Linked DNA regions of Lepisosteus oculatus. The protein of the gene in region 1 purifies or fractionates together with the protein of each later gene. This does not show direct contact. Links are inferred from orthologs where the notes say so. Each region holds a gene or a part of one and is shown on either strand. Other genes may lie near its edges.

Region 1 (3,750 bases):
CCTCTGTTCAAACACACAGTGAAACCCGGGACCGGCAAGCCTTAGCACACTGCCTCTCAGATCCGTGCAGAGACTCGCTGGCAGGTTAGCGGGCCCTGGTGTGAGAGAGGAGTCTGGACACAGGAGAACCAGGAACACTTGTTCCTGCCATCAGAGAGCCAGGAGAAACGGGGAGAAGCTGGGAAGTGACTGAATAAGAGCCTCATGGCCTGATCATATTTTGATTATGTCCTCCACGAAGACACAGTATTGACAGGGAGCTTGGTGCTCTGTCTTTTACAGTTGTATTCGGCATTATTCCACCTTCAACTGGGCAGGATTTATTCACAAACATAATCAACCATTTTTGTTTGGTAGTTTTGTGAACTTCTGGTTAGTTCACATCATATTTCTTGTTCACGTGCACTAGGGATCGCTCCACACTCCTGCTTTGTCACCCACTTGAACAGAGCAGCTGGCAGAAAGGAGACACAGTGGTGCTTTCGACTTGCTGTAACACACTCTTAACAACTGGTGCTGCCAAACTGCTCACATGACCAGAAGAGCACCTGAGCTTGGCTGGGTCGTGTCCAGTCGTGAGCAGTTGGAACGAATCAGAGTCTTCTACATGGATTTTAATGGGGATTTAGTGTCGCTCGTGTGGGTTTACGCCTGTGAGCAGACATTTTCAGGAACTAATCGGTGCGATTGTTGTACCTGAACAAGGTACAGCACTCACAGCTGGGACCACGAGGCCTGCCTTTACAAAAATCTCTTTCAGATTAAAATTCCCCGGGATGGCTCTCCGCGAAGGGGGAGGGGGGAGGGACTGGAATCTCATCTTTTTGGACACTTTTCAATCTGAAGATCTAAAAAAGCAGAAGAAATCCGAAAAAAAAAGTTCTTGCTTGTGAGAGCACACTCCAGTTTTAAGCATAGGAATTAATTTTGCACATATTTTATTGTTTTTACAGTGACTATGATCAGCACATTTTGCACACACCTATGTATTTATTTTTATTTATCTTGTTTGTCTCTTGTTTTATAACTATTCTGATGTCTGTTTTGCTTGTCTTGGGCTGGACTGCTGTAACACATCGATTTCCCTACGGGATTAATAAAGTATTATCTATCTAATGCAACAACAGCAGAATCCTCACTAACCTACAGGAATATTATTAACAACAGCAGCGGGTAACACGCTCGCTTTCCAGAAGTTCAAACCGAATAGTGCCCAAAAACATGAAAACATGAGTTTCTGGTCTCCACCCCCTTTGTCAAGAGCCATTACAGTGAATTTCAATTTGAATAAAACGGGACGACAGCAGCCACCAGCACAGCCGCTCAGAAGTGGGCGTGGGAGTGGGAGTGGGAGTGGTGTGGAGGCGGGGCCGTCTCTCGGCCTCGGTCAAGTCCGAACAGATGCAAATGGCGGGAGGCCTCGCCCCACTCGCGGATTGGCTGCGACGGGTACCGCGCACGCACACGCCCCCGCAGGCCCCGCACGCCGCCTCGGCCCTTAAACACCCGCGGCGCCGCCGGACACCGCAGTGCTGTCGGAACGAACCCGGAGTCGAGCGGCGAGGACGAACTGACACTTCGCGTCTGCAGGGCCCCGGCAGTTGGAAACCGCGGACGCTCGCCGCCCGTCTCTGCTTTCTGGGAAGACCGGCGGGGAGAGGCGGTTCAAGACGACGGATTTGGCATCAGTTCTTTCTGAGGAGTGGTGGTGGTGGGGTGGAAAGAACGCGTTTTTCTTTAAATTAAAAAAAAACGTATTTTGTAACGCTTCTAAACCGGGAGAAATGGAGGAATGGAACTCGCTTCCGAACTACAGCTCCGCCTATCACACCTACGCTTACGGCATGACCTACCCGCCGCCGCCCGTCCAGAATCACCCGTCCTTGGGCTGGAGCGGCACCGGCTTCACCCCCTCCGGCTCGGACGGCCTCTTCCTCGACGTCCCGCCGACGGCACCCCAGAATGCCCTGCCTCAGGACGCCACCCGTGTTCCCGGGGTCCCGCTGGCTGGATCCCCGAGCGACTCCTCCAGCGAGACGGAGCCCAGCACCCCCGGTGAGTGCCCGGCGAGCCCCTTCTCTCTAATATCCCGTATTGTCACTTTTTATTCGCATCTGAGTGTTTCTGTACACGCGTGTTTTCCGAGTCTGGGTCTCCGGCGGTTCCCAGAGACACGGTTGTTTATCCGCACTGCCGGCGGCGTGGAAAAGCAGGGAGACGCGTTTCTCTCAGACTTTCTCTGCCGCCTTCACCGGCTGCGTGTCTTTCTTGACCGAGTTGGTTTTGTATTTGAAAGCGCCGGATTTTCGCGTAAAAGTCTCACGATGTAGCTGTGCGTGTGAAAAGCGCTGCGTGTTTCAGAGAGAGGCGCTGCGGCCCCTAGACTGCAGGTCGGCGTTGTTGGTTTCTATCGGGAAGCAATCCCGCATTTCCACAGCGCAGCGAGAGATGTAGTACTGTGCCCCCGCTGTGTGGGTCAAATCAAGGATTCACCCACCTGCAGCGCCTGTCCTCCTGCTGAACACGGGGTGCGTGCGTTTTCCACGCCGCGGTGCCTCACGCCGTCCTCGGAGGGATCAGGTGGCGACGCGTCCATCTCTCTTTTTCCTCTTTTTCCCTCTCTTCTCCGTCTCTTTCCGTTATGTCGCCACTCTTTGGTGCGGACAGTGTGGAGTCTGGCGCCCCCCCGTGGCCGCCGGGAGAACTCGGTGGGAACAGAGAGGGGATGTAACACGTTTCGGTGGATCTTCTGTCTCCAGTTGGAATGAATCCGTCACTTTAAACGATTGTGTGTCTATTTACGGTGCTTTTATGTGTCCTGGGGTCTGACCCTCTCCTCCGCTCTCTGTGTCCCAGACTCCTGGAGCTCGCCCAGCGCCGACGAGAGCTACGCCCTGAGGCCCCCTCCCGCGCCCTGCAGCCCGGCTGAGACTGCCTGCGCCGAGCCCGTGCCTGCTCCCTGCAGCTGGGCCAAAGGTGCAGAAGAGCAGGGGCAGCAGCAGGGGGCACTGCTGGACATGGACCCAGGTGCGGCCCCAGCAGCTGGGAAACGTGCCCGCAAGCTCCGCACGGCTTTCTCCGAGACGCAGATGACTGCGCTGTGCGAGCGCTACATGATCAAGATGTACCTCACTCCAGCAGAGATGAAGAGCCTGGCTGACAAAATCGGACTATCTTACAAACAGGTAACGGAGTCACTCCATCCCCCAGTACAGAGCGCCCTGTCTGTGTGTGTGGGACAGACCAGTGCAGAGCGCCCTCTCACCATCCCCTGTCTGTTTGCAGGTTAAGACCTGGTTTCAGAACCGCAGGATGAAACAAAAGAGGCAGCAGAAGACTCTGACCGAGGGAGAGGAGCAGGTCCCCAGCTCTGGGTACCCCATTATTCAGCCTCTCCTCTTGGAGAGCTCCAGCTCTGCGTACCCCAATATTCCACCTCTTGCCTTGGTAAGCACTAGCTCTGCTTACACCAATATTCAGGCTCAGACATCGGAAAGCTCTGCGTACCCCAATGCTCAAGCTGAGGCCTCAGAAAGCTCTCCGTACCCCAGTATTCAAACTCAGTCATTCGAAGACTTGGGCTCTGTCTACCCCAACTTTCAAGCTCAGACGTTGGAGAGCCCCACCTCTGTGCACGCCAGTGTTTCACCTCAGACCTCAGAAAGCCCCACTGCTGTGTACCCCAATGTTTCACCTCAGACCTCAAAAAGCTCCAGTTCGGTGTACCCCAATATTTCACTGCAGTTCTCG
Region 2 (3,750 bases), on another chromosome or scaffold:
TAAAATCATGAATGTCCAAAAATCACTATGTAATCAAATTACTTAAAAACCCACCAACTGTCGAGCAGGAATTTTAAACACAAATACAATGAAATAGTTTAGGTGTGTAGCTATGTCAGCATGCATAGGCTGCAAAGGAACAAGTAATAGGTTTACTCCATGCTGAATAAAGAAGAAAACAACGTTTCGGCTGTGGAGCCTTCTTCGGTTGTGACACTTGTTCCTACACAAATACAATGCCATCTTAAAGTTAAACGGGCTTGAACTGGTATGACTGAACTCTAAAAGCTTTGATCTTGGGCGCCAGAATATCGCAGCACAGCAAAAGATAAAGTAACATTGAAAATGTTAATTTTCAGAATTACTGCAAGACATTAAATGTGTTTAATTAAAACAACTAAATATATTCAGACGGAAACCAATATTGCCCCACTACAAATTAACACGTTACAAAGGTACAATTAATCATACAGTTTATTAAAATGAAAATATAATCCAAACTGTCACAGTGAATATATTTGTTTTTGAACAGTCTTCAATACCCAGAATATTTTAATATAAACTTTAAGAAGTAAATGTTTCATTGAAACATTGAACGTTATATTTACTTATGAATATTACCAAGCAGCTTCGGATAAACAATTCTTTATTTGAATACCTCTAAGTTACTAATGAGTAACTTGGAAACTTCAAAATGAAGACACCAACCGTCTCGGCGTCAAATTAATGTGGTTGCAGAATACTACCTCTAGCTCTGCGTGAAACAAAAGCTACTCCCGCAATTTCCATTCAATCAGGAGCTACAGTCATAGTAACTCGCTTAGGAACCAATCGGATACACAACAGATGCTAAAACACACGCCCCCGTATCATCAGCCGCCCAATCAGATAGAAGAGGCATGGATTCTAGAATTTTTTTCTGCTCGCTTGCTTTAAGTCCCCGCCGGCGCCAAAATTCAAAGATTACCATCTTTAAACTAAGTAATGGAAAGGACATACAAGTATAATTAAGAAAAAAGCGAAATGCTTCTAACCAGAGAAAGAATCAAACGAATTATCGCCGTCATAAATCTCAGAGAATCAGTTACTTTAAATTGCTTGCATTTTGACTGTTAGACTGCGGGTGAACTAGTTAGGCCTGTTCACCTAACTGATATAATATAGCCCTGACGTTTCTTGAAAATCTACGAGAATGAAACAATTTATCTGTAAAAATGTTGGAAAATGCTCAAGTTACAACTATTATAAATTCGTTCAACTACAAAACTAAATTGCTTCAAAGTACTAGCAAACAATAGATTATAAGATTATAATAGTTTTTCATAACAGCGCTTTACGATAGGCTTTCTACTCCACCTAAAATCTGAACAGCAAAGTGTCACACCAGCTCATGCAACAAAATTAGAAATGTGCTCGCCCCTTGAGTACCTACGATTTCTCCCCGCCATTTCGGCAGGACGCACTTTGCACCTGAGATAAGGCAGAAAAAAGGCTGCCCGACATCCGCAGCCCAAGGGAGATGCGCTTACCTTCGGGAAGGTCTTCCATGCACTCGAAAGTGATTTCAAACTGGAAGGGGTTTCCGAAGGGACTCGGGTTGTCCAGGACGGCAACGTTCAGCACTTGCACCTTCGCCATTTCTGCAGCTGCCCGGCCAACTCGCGGTGCAAAACAATAATTATCCGAGTCACTCAAAGGGACAAAACTGCGTAGAAACCCCCAAATCCCGTCTTTGCACTGCTGAGGATCTAGTTACAGAGAACCGTGCGCTCTAACAGGGGGTGACAGCTCCTTACTAAAACTAAAAAGTATATTTTTTCCTTACGAAAGTGAATAATTTCCTGTATTTATACGTCGCTTATTTAAAATGAGTCTTGGTACCAGATCTTCATTTTCTGCATCCACACACCAAAGGTTTTCGAAGTTTTTTGTTCCTGACAAGAGGGGGGACTCAAACCTTCAGATCCGGACAGAAAGCGTATGAAAAGTTTCAAAAATATGTTTCCCTCCAAACGTCACAAACCCGTTCCCTTCGCGGTCTGCCCGAGAGAAAGAAAGAAACTCGCTCCCGCCAGCGTTCACAGCAGCCTCCGCCGGACAGTAAGACTAGGAGCATCAAGCTTGAAGCGGATTGGCCAGGCCATAGCCATGGGACCCAGGAGAGCTCTGCTACCGATTGGCCAGCAGCTGCAGGAACTATAGCGTCTGAAACTGCTGGCGCGCTGCTGCGTGACGTCACTGTCGCAGAATTCTGTGCAAATGAGCAGATTCGAGATGTTTTGCACAGTTGCTCGTTCTTCGACTGCCATTACGCGACGTACCCATAATTCCTTTCATAGAGTTGTGCATAGTATTTGAGCTGCAAGCAAGTGCAGCAGGGGGTGCGTTCCTAAACTTAATCAAACGACCTTATGAGTGCCTAAGAAATGGGAATTTATCAGGACTCGACACCACAAAATGAGTAAATTACGTGCTTTATTTCAATTACAATGGCGAAGATTTGTCAATTACTAGATTTTGCTCTCTGTGTAATCAGTAAATTACAATCTATGTTTTTCTCAGAAGTCACCGATGGGAGAACAGTGTGTGTTATACCATTCCAAAAATTTAGAGTATTACTGTTTCCACTTACGTGATTTCTGTGTTTGTTGAAATGCATATCCCACAGCAGCATGTATAGGATGGAAAATCAGAGTTATCCGATTCTGGTTATTACTAAGGATATTTCTGTTCTGCTCACCAAAACAAAATGCACGGAATGTAATTGCAATTGACATGTTAATATCAGTTTCGCGATGTTTTAATTACCCCTACCACTGGCTCACACTGATGTTTTTTTAAAGTTGTATGTTCTTTAACTTTTTGTTGCTGCCTCTGTTCTGTGTTTATGTTTTTGGTATTTTCTTAATGTCTTTGGAACATACATGCAAATACGCATTGCACTTGTGCATATGGCAATAAACTGAACTGTACATAGAAATGTTTCAAATGAGAGGAGGCCATTAAGCCCATTTTGCTCATTTGATAGTATTTACTGTAATTGATCCTAGAATCTCATCCAGCAGTTTCTTGAATTAAGTCAAAGTATCAGCCTCAATCACATGGTTAGCTTGTTTCACACTACCACAACCCTCTGGGTAGAGAAGTGCCTTCTGTTGTTGTTAAATACACTTCCATGTAGTATCCACGTGTGCCCTCTGGTTTGTGTTTCATTGTTTATTCTGAAGAAGTCCTCTGGGTTGACATTGTCAATTTCTGTGAGAATTTTTAATATTTGTATCCGGTCCCTTAATATTGTTTTTCGAGACTAAAAAAGTTTTTTCAGCCTCTGTGTAGAATATTCCTTGAAGACCCAGAAAGCATCTGTTATTCTCTGGACTCATTTCAAAGCAGTAATATTTTTTTTGTAATGTGATAATCACCATTTTACACGGTATTCTAAATGAGACCTAACTACCGCAATACACAATTTTAACATGACATCCCTTAATTTCAATTTTAAGCTTTTAATACAGCCAAACATTTTATTTTCCTTTTTAATTTCTCCCCACATCATCTGGAAGATGTAAGCAATGTACCAACATAAACACAGATGTCTTATCATGAGTAGCTTCTTCTAGCTTAGTGTTTTCCAGTCTGTATTTATATTTTAACTTCTGGGTGATACAGTGGTGCAGTGTTAAACATTGCTTCTTCACAGTGCCGGGGCCTCAGGTTCAGTTCCTGGGGTGTTACCTGCATGAGGGTTGT

What was found. Proteins that work in one complex are often made in the same cells at the same time.
Region 2: the proteins of ipo4 (region 1) and histone chaperone asf1b-B purify together in Homo sapiens (affinity purification with mass spectrometry; 5 studies listed by BioGRID and IntAct, counting the BioPlex papers as one, with this or other methods). This does not show direct contact. The link is inferred for Lepisosteus oculatus from reciprocal best matches to the Homo sapiens genes IPO4 and ASF1B.

The regions. Positions count from the first base shown.
Region 1 is NC_090699.1:14,287,803-14,291,552, forward strand, and holds the start of ipo4 (importin-4), read right to left. Parts: upstream 2,612-3,750; 5' UTR 2,597-2,611; coding exon 2,498-2,596; intron 2,056-2,497; coding exon of another isoform or gene 1,785-2,055; exon of another isoform or gene 1,372-1,784; intron 1-1,371. Other genes in the region: homeobox protein NANOG, read left to right, coding at 1,785-2,055, 2,857-3,185, 3,286-3,750. UniProt on the Homo sapiens protein: Nuclear transport receptor that mediates nuclear import of proteins, such as histones, RPS3A, TNP2 and VDR. Serves as receptor for nuclear localization signals (NLS) in cargo substrates.
Region 2 is NC_090706.1:21,998,558-22,002,307, forward strand, and holds the start of histone chaperone asf1b-B, read right to left. Parts: upstream 2,145-3,750; 5' UTR 1,639-2,144; coding exon 1,530-1,638; intron 827-1,529; exon of another isoform or gene 790-826; coding exon of another isoform or gene 747-789; intron 1-746. UniProt on the Homo sapiens protein: Histone chaperone that facilitates histone deposition and histone exchange and removal during nucleosome assembly and disassembly. Cooperates with chromatin assembly factor 1 (CAF-1) to promote replication-dependent chromatin assembly.